Linked DNA regions of Canis lupus familiaris. The main gene of each other region encodes a partner of the protein of the gene in region 3 in a complex. Links are inferred from orthologs where the notes say so. Each region holds a gene or a part of one and is shown on either strand. Other genes may lie near its edges.

What was found. The genes of interacting proteins can lie anywhere in the genome.
Region 1: the proteins of SORT1 (region 3) and NTS are in contact, whole or in part, in a crystal structure (PDB 4PO7), measured with the Homo sapiens proteins. The link is inferred for Canis lupus familiaris from reciprocal best matches to the Homo sapiens genes SORT1 and NTS. Residues at the interface, in NP_002950.3 of Homo sapiens: Val112, Ser113, Leu114, Ser115, Trp116, Lys260, Tyr304, Ser305, Phe306, Gly307, Leu308, Phe314, Ser316, Arg325, Ile327, Phe350, Tyr351, Ser352, Ile353, Tyr395, Gly399, Thr570, Gly571, Leu572, Ala573, Trp586, Trp597; in NP_006174.1 of Homo sapiens: Leu152, Tyr153, Glu154, Asn155, Pro160, Tyr161, Ile162, Leu163.
Region 2: the proteins of SORT1 (region 3) and GRN are in contact, whole or in part, in a crystal structure (PDB 8T8S), measured with the Homo sapiens proteins. The link is inferred for Canis lupus familiaris from reciprocal best matches to the Homo sapiens genes SORT1 and GRN. Residues at the interface, in NP_002950.3 of Homo sapiens: Leu108, Gly110, Ser111, Val112, Ser113, Leu114, Ile174, Gly175, Pro176, Lys260, Tyr304, Ser305, Phe306, Gly307, Leu308, Phe314, Ala315, Ser316, Arg325, Ile327, Phe350, Tyr351, Ser352, Ile353, Leu354, Tyr395, Thr398, Gly399, Thr402, Phe404; in NP_002078.1 of Homo sapiens: Pro578, Arg579, Trp580, Asp581, Ala582, Pro583, Arg585, Arg590, Gln591, Leu592, Leu593.

Annotation. Positions count from the first base shown.
Region 1 is NC_049236.1:27,664,868-27,669,879, forward strand, and holds part of NTS (neurotensin/neuromedin N precursor), read left to right. Parts: intron 1-3,005; coding exon 3,006-3,230; intron 3,231-5,012. UniProt on the Homo sapiens protein: Neurotensin may play an endocrine or paracrine role in the regulation of fat metabolism. It causes contraction of smooth muscle.
Region 2 is NC_049230.1:18,951,917-18,955,899, forward strand, and holds the end of GRN (progranulin), read right to left. Parts: intron 3,931-3,983; coding exon 3,818-3,930; intron 3,724-3,817; coding exon 3,588-3,723; intron 3,467-3,587; coding exon 3,372-3,466; intron 3,154-3,371; coding exon 3,030-3,153; intron 2,737-3,029; coding exon 2,639-2,736; intron 2,550-2,638; coding exon 2,304-2,549; intron 2,039-2,303; coding exon 1,805-2,038; intron 1,703-1,804; coding exon 1,472-1,702; intron 1,376-1,471; coding exon 1,238-1,375; 3' UTR 933-1,237; downstream 1-932. Other genes in the region: protein FAM171A2, read left to right, coding at 1-280. UniProt on the Homo sapiens protein: Secreted protein that acts as a key regulator of lysosomal function and as a growth factor involved in inflammation, wound healing and cell proliferation. Regulates protein trafficking to lysosomes, and also the activity of lysosomal enzymes.
Region 3 is NC_049227.1:42,964,485-42,969,496, reverse strand, and holds part of SORT1 (sortilin), read right to left. Parts: intron 3,906-5,012; coding exon 3,716-3,905; intron 231-3,715; coding exon 114-230; intron 1-113.

The DNA of each region.
Region 1 (5,012 bases), on a different chromosome or scaffold from region 3:
TAAAGAAAAATTATTCATGTCCCTAGCTAAAGGAAGATTTATTCAAGAGGAACTACTGAAATGGAGATTTTGCAGAGATTAGCTCAACTCCAAACACAATCAGGGCAAGTGCATTTATAGCCAAGAGGCCGAGTACGGCTCAGTGGCTGGAAGAAGAGGAAACATCAAGGCTAGAAGGATTCTTGCTAGAAGACACAACAGGATTCTGATATTAAAGACAGAAATTTGATAAAGTATCTGGTATTTGATCAGTTATCTGGGGTGATCAGATACCAAGCATGAGGCATCTGCAGTAAATGCACCCAGCACAATTCTTGCTAAAACTCAACTAAGGAGACCAAGGACAGAGCCTGAGGTTGGGACCTAGTTAAGAAGGGGGCTCAAAGGAGCCTGATTTAAAGAAAGAGAGCCTTTGCCATTTTTTCTGAATGAAATAGTTGAAACCTTATACAAAATATTCTCAAATACAAGATATCTAACTTAGACATCCTGTAGTCAGTACAGTTTTCTCTGCTGGGCTTCCTAGGTATGACAGGGACCAATGTGACCTTAAATAATTGTACTATTGAGTCATGTAGTGACTACTTTAACTGGCAGAAAGAAACAGGATGATTAATTCAGTTTCCTCATCCAAAAAAGTAACCAGATAACACAAATCCTGACAGATACTTTACAAATAAAGCATTCTGTGGTCATATTAGTTTGGGGAATATTTGACACTATATTGGCACCATTAAAAAGTTACAATGGGGGCACCTGGCTAGCTCAGTTGGTAGAGCATGTAACTCTTGATCTCGAGGTTGTGAGTTCAAGCCCCACTTTGGGTGTAGAGATTACTCAAGAATAATAAATTTAAAAAAATTAAAAGTTACAATAAATATGTGCAAGTAAAAAAGTTCTGAGGATACCTAAGTTCAAGAAATCTTTACAATTTCTTTAAATTTAAGTTTTCCATTGTACTTGACAGGAGAACTCTTTGAGAAACAATGAGTGCAGAACTAGTGTTCCAAGGAGTACACTTTAGAAAACATTCAATTAGATGATCTACAAAGAACTTTCTAAATGTAAAATTATAGTATGCCATTAACTGGTATGATATAAGGTGTTGCTGCCAAACAGTGGAGCATGTCTCTAAGTTTTCCATAACAGAAGAGCTTAAGCAATGGCTGGATAATTGAATTCACAGGGTATGGCTGAAAGGATTTCTAAACTGGCTAAAACCATCCTATGTTATGTTATTATATATCATATTCAAGTCAATATCTTTGTACTCATATATTTGCATGTTCTTAGGGTAAAATCTTAATCAAAGGGTGTGTACACTTTCCATTTTAACACAAGATATCCTTCAAAAAGTTACAACATTCTACACCCAGACTGACAAATATTTAGAAGAGGAAGTAGCCCCATCCCCATGTCCCTAGAACTACACCAAATGAGTGTCCCTGTCCTTTTGAAAGTCTTCCGAGGAGGTGTTGGTGGTCAAGTTGAACATCTTTCCATATATTTCTTCTTTGATAAGGGATTCTGTGACTTGTTTACTCATTTTACTTAAACACAGTTTAAAATTTTTAGTTTTTTTTTTAATTGGTGCATTCAGCAGTTTCTTTTTGAAGATCTTTACCTGTATTAAGGATATTAACATTTTGTGGCAGCTTTTACATTAAGGCTGGTCATTTTCCAGAGATGTTCTACACATTTAATTTAAAATCATCCTTTTCTTTATGGATTGTGGTTTAGATATTTGCTTAATAATACCTTTCTAGGTTTATAAAACAAACTTTATATATTTAGACACTATTCTACTTTTACTCATTTGTAACTACAGTAAACTACAGTAGATCAAGAAAGTTATAACTAGATGTAAGTCCAGATTTCCTGATAGCCAATTGTCTCAAGGATTTCAAATGTGAACTCTGTTATACGCTGCTCATTCATTTGTACTTGGACCAATTTGGGGATATTATTTTCTATTCTGTTGTTGCCTTTTGCTGAGCCTTTAAAGTACACTTCAGTATCTGGTAGAATAAGTTCCTCCTCATTGCCTTTTTATTTTTCTAAATCTTGTTATTCTCACACTTTCATGCTTACAAATTAATTATTTTGCCAAATCCCCAACTCCAAAGTCCGGTATCCCCAGGTTTTCCAAATTGGATTTTTTTTTTTTCCAATTGGAATTTTGATTTTCAATTGCATTATGGGGGGGAGGTAATTCAGAGACAATGGACATGTGATATTGCCATTATTGAATCCTCTCATCGTGGTTGTGTGGTCATTCACATTTGTGTGTGTGTGTGTGTGTGTGTGTGTGTGTGTGTTTAGGAAAAATGCATGCTTTCCTATATGCCATTTGAAATTTTTATTATTTTGCATTTAGGTTCTCCTAAGTCTTTATGTTTCCTCACTGATTATTATTGGCACATAGGAAAGTTATTGATGGTAATACTGGTTTCAGACAAGATATAATTAGAAAAAATGGTAACTCTAGAAAATATTATAATTTACAAATAAATAAATTGATCAGCTGTGATGCTGCCTATGAGAACTATTGATGTGTGGAATAGATTAGTGATCTCACACTACTGTAATTGTCCAAATCTGTTAGTATCATCGCAGTCCATGCTCCATTAGACACCAAACTGAAGTGTAGTAAAGAGAATAGTATTTTTAATATTTTCATCTGTGATATATGCATATATGTTTACATATTTATACTCACAATTATTTCTATATTTTTTGCTTTGCTCATGTATGTGTGCTTGTGTGCATGTTTATAATTGTATTACATTAAAAAATTGAATATAAGAGGAATTGGTACTAATAAATTTTGTGATGTAAGGTTACTAAATTAATAGCAGTGTAAATATGAAGCTAGAGTAAAAGATTCTAAAATATAATGGCTTTAATGGCTTAGCATAATGGAAATTAATTTCTTATTTCATAGAATACAAGTTTTAATTAGCTATTTTTTTATTTTAAGTACCTAATTTTTTTCTATATTTCAGATCAGTAAAGCAAGTGTTTCTTCTTGGAAAATGACCCTGCTAAATGTTTGCAGTTTTGTCAATAACCTGAACAGCCAAGCCGAGGAAACAGGAGAGTTTCGTGAAGAGGAGCTTATTACAAGAAGGAAATTTCCCACTGCCTTGGATGGCTTTAGCTTGGAAGCAATGTTGACAATATACCAGCTCCAAAAAATCTGTCACAGCAGGGCCTTTCAACAATGGGAGGTAAAGCAAAAACAAAATATGAATGTAATTCTCGTTATACTAGTTAGCTTTCATTTGTCCTGATTTTTTCTGCCCTGATCATTATCATAACAGGAAGAGTTACAGATATTAAAGAAGAATAAACCATGTGTTTAGGTTAACATTCCTTCAGATCTTCAAAGTGTCCTTCAAATATTTGGAGTTTAGCAAAATATTTTTTCTTCAATCTTAAAAGGGGGATATATCTTAAGGCAGATTTGATCCACATGCTTTTATTGTGCTTAAATGGATGGCATACTTAGGCAATTTTTAGTGGTCACATGCCTATAAAATTTAAGAGCTCAAAATATTTTCTTAGAAACACCAAGTCATGTGTGTCTATAAACAAACACAAAATGAAAGGTTCTACTTGTATTTGAATATATCAGGCAAATAAAACTGGAAAAATCCATATATATGTATTCCTATTTCAATTGAATACATAGATTTCAGGCATCCTTAGCATCTAAACTAGGTCCACCACAGCCAACGCAGCCAAAATCCATTATACAGAAAGAACTACACTAAAATAGGATGAAACAGTTGTATTAAATACTATACTAGTGATTTACTGCCTTTGATTTTGGAACAATTGTTTGCTTGAAGGAGGAAAAGAGAAATGAAAATGCTTTAAAGAAAAAAAAATTAAAATTTTTTCCAACAAGGGAACCATTTCTCTCATATTAACCTCTAAGAGAAATCTGCTTAATGATTTGTATTTTGGGTTTACACCAACATGGCAAATTTGAGGGTGCCTTTCCTGCTAATATAGCAATCGCTGTAGAGGACTATCACAGAGACACCCTGAGGAAAAGAAGAAATGCAAACTAGAACTTCTAGTGTTTATTTTAACTTGTAAACAAGAAGATGTTTTCTAGATGAAAAACCAAAAAAAAAAAAAAAAAAAAAAAAAAAACCAAAAAACAAAACTAGTTTAAATTTTACTTGATGGACTACTAATCCCTAATTCCAGTTCCAGCTAAATAGTTTAGTCTCTAAAACATTGTTTAAGTCAATAAAACTTAAAAAATCCTAATTTTAACATAGGGAAATGTCAATTGTGTGCTATTTATCCAGGAATTGAAAAGAAAAAACCTCAATAAATTATTATACATACAAATCAGGTGCACATACAATTAGAACTTTCACTATTTTAAATGTTTTACTGAGTAATTTAAAATAAAGTGATAATATCATTCAGAACATAATATGAATAATTATAGACTATGTTCACAGAGAAACATAAGATTTAGAAACTAGATTGTCTGCCAGTACCTGTTTTTTCTTCTCTGAAATTGGATGTTATGGGTTGAGATAAAGTACTTGGTGATACAACTCAGTCCATAAGCATTATAATTAAAATTTTAGTCTCCTCTTAGTATTTCTTATGACCCCAAAGATTAGAGGACAATCACAAACACAAAGACAATTCTTATTTTGAACATTTGTTTTAAAATTTCACATAAATTATGTGCAACATTCTGGGACAAGTTCTTAAACATTTTCCGTTAGCTGAAATTTTTGAATCACACCTGTACCAGAAAAAAGGGTTCAGAATTAATTTTAGAATGTGGCATATTCAATGAGATAGTAGGGAAGATTCTACATGGAGATGAACTCCCTTAAGTTATGGAATCTGAACTTGTTTCTAATTATTAGGCGCCACAACCTGAAGAGATCTTTACTATTTAAGCAGAGCTTTCACATGCGTGAATTTCTGTCACAACTAAGTTAGGCAGAGCAGGCATTTCTCTCCCTTTGATT
Region 2 (3,983 bases), on a different chromosome or scaffold from region 3:
CAGCGAGAGCCGCACGGGCCTCTGCTCCCCCGAGGACAACTCGCTGACGCCGCTGCTGGACGAGGTGGCGGCGCCCGAGGGCCGGGCGGCCACCGTGCCCCGGGGTCGGGGCCGCAGCCGCGGGGACAGTTCCCGCAGCAGCGCCAGCGAGCTGCGGCGCGACTCGCTCACCAGCCCAGAGGACGAGCTGGGGGCGGAGGCGGGCGACGAGGCGGGCGACAAGAAGAGCCCGTGGCAGCGGCGGGAGGAGCGGCCGCTGATGGTGTTCAACGTCAAGTAGCGCCCCCGCCCGGCCTGGCGCCGCCCCCGGGCCGGCCCCCGCCCCTCCCGCCCGGCTCCGCCCCCAGGGTGCGCGCGCCGGGGGGCCGCGGGGGCCCTCGCTCTTAGCGCCCCAGTGCCCCCCGCCCTGCCGGGAGAGGTGGCCGGGGGCCTGCGGAGCTGTCCAGTGGTACGTGCTGGGTGAGGTCTCGGGAGGGACCCGGGTCAGCCTCCAAGAGGGAGGAGGTGGGAGGGGTCCAGACCCCCATTGGGGAGGTGCTGGGGAAGGAGGGCTGGGTGGGGGGAAGCAGTGCCTGTATAAACGTGGCTGTACATAGAAAGATCTATTGTGGGGAAGCAGGAGGGGCGACCGGGCCTCAGCTGCTAGTGTGAGGGCCGGGAAGGGAGGGGGCCTTCTCTGTGGACCCCCGGGAGGGGAGGGGGTGCTGCTTGCTGACTAGCCCATCTCTGGGCTACAATGTCACAGGGCTGGTGGCTGGGGCGGCTCTGGGGACTAGGGGATCGTGTGATGGGATTGCTGTGGGCAACAGCAAATATAAAACTGGTGAGATTAACTCTGTGTGTGTGTGTCTTTCTGTGGGGTTGGGGAACACGGACACTGGGTGGGAGCCCTTCTCAGAGTAGGGCAGGCAAGGTGGTCAAATCAGACGCTGTTAAGAAAGTGTACAAACTTTACTGCAGCACATACACACATACACCTGTGGATAGGGAAGAGCACCTGGCCACAGGGTAGACGGAAACAGGGAGGGATGGCAGCTTGTAACATGGCTTTCGCCACAGCCTCCCTTGAGATAGGGAAGGCCTTAGGTTGAGGCCCCAGCAACCATGATGGGGGTGGGACTCAGGATGGGGGACTTGGGAGAATTTGGTGGGGGAGAGGTGCTGGGGAGGCCTGAGCAGTGGGGACCCTCCGAGCAGGGTCCCAAGGGCTGCAGACTCTATAGTCCTTCGGCTCGCCTCACAGCAGCGGTCTTGGGGCTGGGTCCCTCAGTGGCATGTCCCAGCGCAGGCTCTCCCTCCGTAGACATTTGGTGCCCTTGGCCCCACAGTGGAAGCCAGTGGGGCAGCAGTGACGCTGATCCGCACAACAGACACCCTGGACGGCCACAGATGGGTGGGGGCAGGGGGTCAGAGTGGGGCACCTGGCTCTCAGGGATACCCAGCTCCAGGGCAGGGGTGAGGGAGCACTGACCTGGTGATAGGGACAGCAGGCCCAGCCTCCTCGGCTATCTCGACAGCAGGTCTGGTTATCATGGCAGAAGTGCCCTTCCCCACACTTCACGTTCCCCACACCCACGCGAGGGCCACGGGCCAGGCGGACGGCCAGGTGGGTCGAGTCTGCCTCCTTCTCACAGGATCGGGCCTTCACGTTGCAGGTGTACCCGGCTGGGCAGCAGTGCTGACGGTCCTCACAGCACACAGCCTGGGAGGGACAGGGCAGCCTTCAACTCTCCCCTCCTCTCCCTGGGAGACTCAGACCCCCTGTGCAGGGCAGGTGGGGTGGTGGTGGGGGGGGGGCACTCACATGAGGCAACTGGCAGCAGGCCCAGCCTCCACTCAGGCTTGGGCAGCAGGTCTGTCCCACGGGGCAGCTGGTGTGCTGGTCACAGCCTATATCCCTGCGGTGAGATGGGGAAGCCCGGCGGGCAGGCATCTTCTCCAGTCCACTCACCACCTTGCTCCCCCTCTGACAGTGCCCGTCGTCCAAGCACGTATAGCCATGGGGGCAGCAGTGCTGGTGGTCTGAGCAGCAGACAGCCTGGCAGGGGTGGGGGGGGGTAGGGGGGACAGTGGTAGAACAGGATGGTCTGGGAAGCTGCCATGTGGGACAAAAAGCTAAGCCCCTGCCTAGCCCGACTCCCTCTCCTGCTCACAGCTCCCCCAGCTGGGAATGAACTTGACCCAGCTGGTGTGCCACCTGTGGGCCAGGCAGGGGAGAGAAGAGCAAAGCAACAGGAGGCTGGCCACCTGCCTTGGCTAAGACCCTGTCATCCCCCTGCCATGCTCTCCCCCTACCCACACACCTCTGGGGCAGGACAGCAGCCCCACTCCCCGGACATAAGTCGACAGCAGGTATTGGAGGAGGGACAGCTGGTGACGTTATCACAGGGGACATCATTCTCTGTGGCCTGGGGGTTCAGCAGCTGAAGGCGGGCTGGGGCCTGCACCATCCAGGGCATCTGGGGGGCGTTCTGTTCACAGGTGCCCTTCGCTGTGTCACATTTAAACCCAGCCGGGCAGCAGTGTACATGGTCCTCACAGCATACGGCCTAGGGTGAATGGACAGGGGACAATGGGCACGAGGCCTAGCTGGCTGCCACTTTCTGCTCAGCCCAGCCCACCCACCACTCCTGGGTACCTGGGCAAAAGGGCAGCAGCCCCAGGCCCCTGACTGCAGACGGCAGCAGGTGTAGCCGTCTGGGCAGCTCACCTCCATGTCACATTTCACCTCCTGCACTGTGAGAAAGGCACGGAGGACAGGTCAGCGGTGGCTGTGGGGGCCCTCAGGACACCCAACCCCTTGCTGGCGCCACAGCTGGACCCAGGTGTGGAGAATGGAGAGTATATTTAGGCCACCTCAGCAGTGACCCAAAGGCAATGACTAGTGTGGAGGAAAAGGGGCTGTGCCAGCCCTGTCCCCTCCTTGTGGCCATCAGCCTCCCACCCCCTTATCTGTTCCTGGAACAGTGCAGTGGAGAGCTCCTGCACATGGTGCAGGTAGAATGGGGTCTGCAGCCTTCCTCTGGTACCTGTGTGTGCTGGCAGCTTGGTGAGGAGGTCCGTAGCGTTCTCCTTGGAGAGGCACTTACTCCGGACCAAGTCGCACACAGTATCCTGGGGGCAACAGTGCAGGTGATCGGAGCAGCAGATGGCCTGGGTGGGGGGAGGGGAAGGTCCTGTGACTTCCAATCTCCGTTGAGCTCAGGGAGCAGCCAGGTGACAGCTGACACTGCCTCAGTCCCCCACTAGGGGGTGGCATGAGTCCTGAGCAGCCAAGCTTCCAAGGACCTGCCAGCACGCCCCACCCCAAGGCGTCCCTCCAAGGTAGGTGTCCGGGCCAGGTGACTGTGGGCACCTAGCCCTTCACTCACATGAGGCATTGGGCAGCAGCCATACTTCCCGCTGGGCAGCTCGCAGCAAGTGGAACCATCAGGGCACTGGGACCGGCCATCAGGGCATATGACCCCTGGAAGGGGAGAGAGGTGTGCGGGGCAGCCCAGGTGGCGGGGAGCTCTTCCCCAGCTGAGAGCCAGATGAGGCCTCGCCTCACTTCCAACCCCGAACCTGATGCTCTCCCACTTCCTTACCTGCCCTGTTACTCCTTTGTGCGGGGATCTTCTTTGCCAGGGGGTGGCTTCCTGTGGCCGTGAGGCAGCGGGCATGAGCCAGGTCACAGGAGGTACCATGGGGGCAGCAGTGCACCTTGTCCTCGCAGCAAGAAGCCTGACGAGAGATGGTTCCGACCCGGACTTTGATCTCTCCAGCCCCTTGCTCTGCCCCTGCTGCTTCCCCCACCCCCCTCTTCCCAAACCTGTACCTGGGGCATGGGGCAGCATCCCCAGGAGCCATCTAGCATAGTGCAGCACGTGGAGGAGTTGGGACATTCAAACTGGCTGTCAGGGCACTGGATGGCACCCAAGGGGTTGGTATCTGTGGACAGGATGACCCAGGATTCCGCCAACCCAGTCAGGGAAGGCCAATAC
Region 3 (5,012 bases):
CATCAGACAGTATTTGGCTAGCGTGCTCCGAACACTGTTTGTGTGGAGATCTGGGGTCTCGCTCTGCCTGCTGAGGACGTGTCTGCCCTGATTTTGGAGGAGAGCTGCCTCACCCATTTGTTGTCAGGTGCTCCTCTCTGCCGTACAGACAAAACTCCAGGTCGTGGCCCTTTAGTTCTGGCTGTTCCACACACTTGGAGTCATTTTCTGGACGGAAGTAGCCAAAATCACTGTAAGAGTCAACAAATAAAGTATCTTTCAGAGTTGCTGGAAGACAGTCAAGTGACTAGTACTGAAGGTTTTGTGTGGAGCAGTGGAAGATTAATATTCCAGTCTTTGGAAGCAGTTCAGTGTCATCTGTAGAGAAGGTGTACTTAGGGAAACAGGCATGGAGAAGACCAAACTGGGGGGCCACGGGCAGCTTACGGGCAGGCCTGGTGAGCTTGGGCCTCGGGAACTGCCTCCCCCCCCCTCACACACAGACAGCACTGGCTCCAGGCAGGGGCCAACTGCACAGGCCAGGGACTCACGACACCAAAAAACTGTCGCATCAGCGACAGATCTAAACCCACGCCGCTTAGTGATCTTTTTATTTCCCTCCTGATCACTCGTTACTGTGTTCTCTGGCAGGGTGCCCTAGGGTGTAGGTCAGATTCTGCCTGCCTCATTTCTGTCCCTCTGTCTCCAGTGTGAATGCCCTGTCCTGCCCTCCATCCTACCCTATCTCTCCACCGCACTTCCCATCTGCCCTTTCCCCTAAGAACTCACACACTGCCCCCTCTCAGAGGCTGACGCCTTATGTGAGCATCCTTGGTCCGTCCTTCCTCCTGTCCCGGGACCTAGCTTCCCTGAGGGTGTAGAGGGACCACCAGGCCCGTGCAGCTGGGGGCTTCTCCTTAGCCTATGTGTTTCCTCTTCCTTCTCTCTCTTCTTAAAATAATATTTTAGATTTTTTCTGTTATACTCTTACTTTGCATTCTGTGCATGTTGGCTTTAGCACCCTCTACAACTTTGGGGGTAAACTTCTAAGGCCCCCAGGACTCACTAGGCCTGCAACCCTGGGGGGCCCTCTGGTCTGGCCTGTGCTGTGGCACCTAACACACTGCCTGCCCCAGCCCCTGGCCAGCTGTGCTTGCCTGTTTCTCTCGGTTTCCATCTTCTAACCTGGAAATGCACACACTTTCCAGCGTCGGCAAGTCATTCTCTTAGCCTGTGTCTGAGCATAATTATTTGTTGCAACTAAAACTTGTAGGTCTCACCTCTCTAGAGCTCTGAGCCTCCATTCTCAGTACCTGCTGGACATCACCACCTAAATCAGAACCCCAAATAAATGAAAACATCCAAAACGCATCATGTGTTCTCTCTCAAGCCAGCCTCTCCCATCACTTCTCTGTGTTTGCCACGGTGCTACCTTCCTTCCATTATCTAAGCTGAAAATTCAGCCTGGGCATCCCCTATTTGCCCCCTACTCGCTTCTTTATCGTGGCCATGGGGACTTCCCCTCATGGCCGATCTCCCAGCACACTCTTCCTGAGCATGCTGGTGGTATCTACTCTTGTACCAGTCCACTGGCTTTAAGGACTTGTTTCTTCCCAGATGTGCAAGGACAAGTCTTACCGCTTGCCAGGGCCTAGCTCAAATGCTACCTCCTCAACAAAGCCTTTTTTTTTTTAGATTTTTAAATTTATCTATTCATGAGAGAGAGGGGGTGTGTGTGGCAGAGACACAGGCAGAGGGAGAAGCAGGCTCCACGCAGGGAGCCCGACGCGGGACTAGATCCTGGGTCTCCAGGATCACACCCTGGGCTGAAGGCGGCGCTAAACCGCCAAGCCACCCGGGCTGCCCAACAAAGCCTTCTTTGACACACCGCCTTTCAGCTCTAGATGGAATGGCCTTTCCCTTCGCTAAATCCCCGAGGCACTGTTTCACCGCATAATTCTGTGCATCTGACCAGGACAATCAACAACAAACTTACTGTCACTTTGTGCTACCCTGAGCACAGCAAGGATGCAATGGACGTTTAGGCAATGCACTGATGCTGCGCTTGTACTTCAAGGTGTTTCTGACAAATGTTTAGGGAACGGGGTAAGAAGAGAACAAGCGATGCCAAGACACCAGACCTCTGACAGTGGGGAAAATTCTGGCAAAAAGTTTAGGTATCCAATCGCACATGTCAGGGAAAATGTCCTTCCTGCTCACAAAGTACACATTTCTCAAGCATGGGAGGGAAGCGTGCAGGCTCTGGAGTGGGGCTGTCAGGAGCACAGTCCAGCTCTTCTGCTTCCTGGCTGGGCCACTGTGTGGGCTGCAAGTTAGTAGGGACCTCTCTGAATCTTCTTTCTTGGTGAGATGGAAATGGCAGCAGGCCCTATCTCAGAGGCTGCTGAGGTTAAATGTAAATTGCTCAGGATGGGGTTGGCTACCGGGTCCGTGCTCAGTAGACGTCAGGGGCTGCGTGTACTCCAAGATGATCAAATCTAATGTGCCCTCAAGGAGTCGGGAGTTTACCGGTGGAACCAATCCATGCACAATAACCAAAACCTAGCAGCAGGCATCCTGCAGGAGCCCACGTGAGGAGAAGAAGGGCGCTATGTATTAAAGGCCAAGTAGGACCTCCTCAAGCCTGGGGGTCACGCAGGGAGCATGGGAAGACTTCACGGGTGGAGGAAGCTGCGTAAACAACAGTGTGGAGCTTTGACGGAGCACAGCATGTCTGGAAAGCAGGGGAAGGCCAGGTAATTAAGAGCCTGGTCTGTGTGATGAAGACAGCCCGCTGGAGCATCAGTGTCAGCAAGCTCTAGCCCCAGAGGGACACCGCAGTGATCTGAGGGATCCCACTCCTTGTGGAAGGACAGCAGGTCACCCCTGGCCTGCTCCACATACAGACGTGAGCCACACAGGCAGGACCACAGCAGTCAGACCGGGGGTTCGCTCCATCCCCCATTCCCCTCACCCGCAGTTCTAGAGAAATGTCTATGCGGGAGGACACGACTGCTATCTGCCTGCACTCTTTCCAGATCCTTTAGGATTCACCTTACCTTCCTGCCAGTATGTTCTGCAAGAAACGAGTTCCATGAGGTTACTGGCTGTGACGGCATGCAGCCCCTCTCATTTGTGCTAAGCTACCCTGCTTGGCTAGCTGGGGCCTGTCTCACCCTTAGATAATCAGCTAACTCCACGCTGGCCTTGTCACTAGCCCTGTACCTGGTGGTCCTGAACTCGAGGGAGTCCACCACGATGGCCTCTAGACCCTGATGGGACATCTGGACATCACCACCCCGATGCCCCCTCCTGTCTCAGGACAGAAGCACTCTTTGCCTTCAGGCGTGCAGACAATCCAAAACCTAGCGCCCTACCTGCTGCACTCGGGCGGTCGGTATTTAGTGAGCACAGGAGGCCCAACCTCCCCCCAGCTGCTGCACTGCCCTTCCCGGTGGTTTCCACACTGTCGGTTCCTCTCTGGGTTTGAGTTCTCTTTCTCCTTATACACCTCTCTCCCTTGCTGTCTGGTGTGACAGATCACCTGTCTGAGGACTGTAACTGTGGATCCCTTCTCTGTGCCTCCAGCTCCTCAATAAGCAGCAGCAGCAGCAGCAGCAGCTCGCCACACTCGGGGAAGGAAGGATTGAAATCCTTTACAGCCCCCGAAGACAACTGCCTTTTGCCCCCTCCCGCCCAGCAAAGGGGCTAACAGGGATGTGAGGGGGGCCAATACCAGAGGAAGTCCTCCAGGGAGCAGGGACAGACGGACGGCTGCTTGGTCACAACATAGTCCCGGCCGTTCTGGCAGACGGACGACTTGCGGAGCCGCAGATACTGTTCCTTGTAACCCAAGATGCAGCCATCTCCATAATCCCCGGGGTCTGCGGAGTGAGCCAGCCATATGGTATAGTCCTTCTCCTCACCTAGAGAGAACACAGGCTGTTCAGGTGACCGCCTGGCCCCACACCCACATGCGAGAGGCGGTTGCAGGCGGGGAGGAGAACACGGATGGGAAATGGGGGTGTCTGACTCATCCTACTGCCTCATTTTGGAACTGCAGATGAAAGTTGCAGGACTTGAAGCCTGCTAGCAGTTGGCATCACTCATGTCAGGAGAGGACTCTTCATGTCTCACCGTCCATCTGGATATTAGGAAAAACCCTATTTGTTTCAAAGTGGGCAGCTGGATGGGGGACCTCAAAGCTCCCTTTGAGGTGGAGAGGCTGCTGTCTCTACGTCTGGTACACCTGTGCTCTTGGTCAGCAGAGCTGCCACTAGTAAGTGGCCAGGTGTTCCCTTTTAGGACAAGATAAGAGCCAGCCAAAGCAGGGGTTCAATCTCACCGTTAGGTTAGCTTGCCTCAAGTAGAAGGAGACAAGGTCTTTCTAGACCTTTAACTCTAGTCAACTGGCTTTCCAATCAGTGACAGTCAATCTGGTTTCGTGAGTCTTATCATACTGGAAAAATGACTCAAAGGCTATGGCCTGAAGACTGTGCATTAGGTTTTTATCCTTTGGGATATGAAGACCAGCACAGAGCCTTTTAAGAAGCAGGTGCTTACCAAATCTTTTAATGGCGTTAAACTTTAGGGATAACTGTAGAGCTGCCTTACGAAGGAAAACTCGTAAGCTGGCTCCTTTACAGCCTATTTCATGAATCTGGATAATAATGACTCTCGAATATTAAATCATATTTAAACACCTGTAGAAAAGTAAGGTCCAAACGAGTGCTCCTGCTTCCTCCAGGGGTCACTGAACTAACATTCTGAGGAAACAGAGCCAGCATACAATCTAATAACGAGACCAGGACTCAACCAAAGTGACCTGAAAACCTTAAGTCTTTTATTATAACACCCCAGAGTTCACAGGGTGGGGGCCTTTTCTCCAGTTTTCTCTTTTATCCTCCATATCTTTCAGTAGCATGTCAGCATCTTGGGTACTGGGGCCTGGGTTGGCTTGTGATTCTTTAGCAACAGCTTGCGACGAACATTTTACCTCCTTTTCTGAAGTCATTTCCTGTCCCTTGAACATG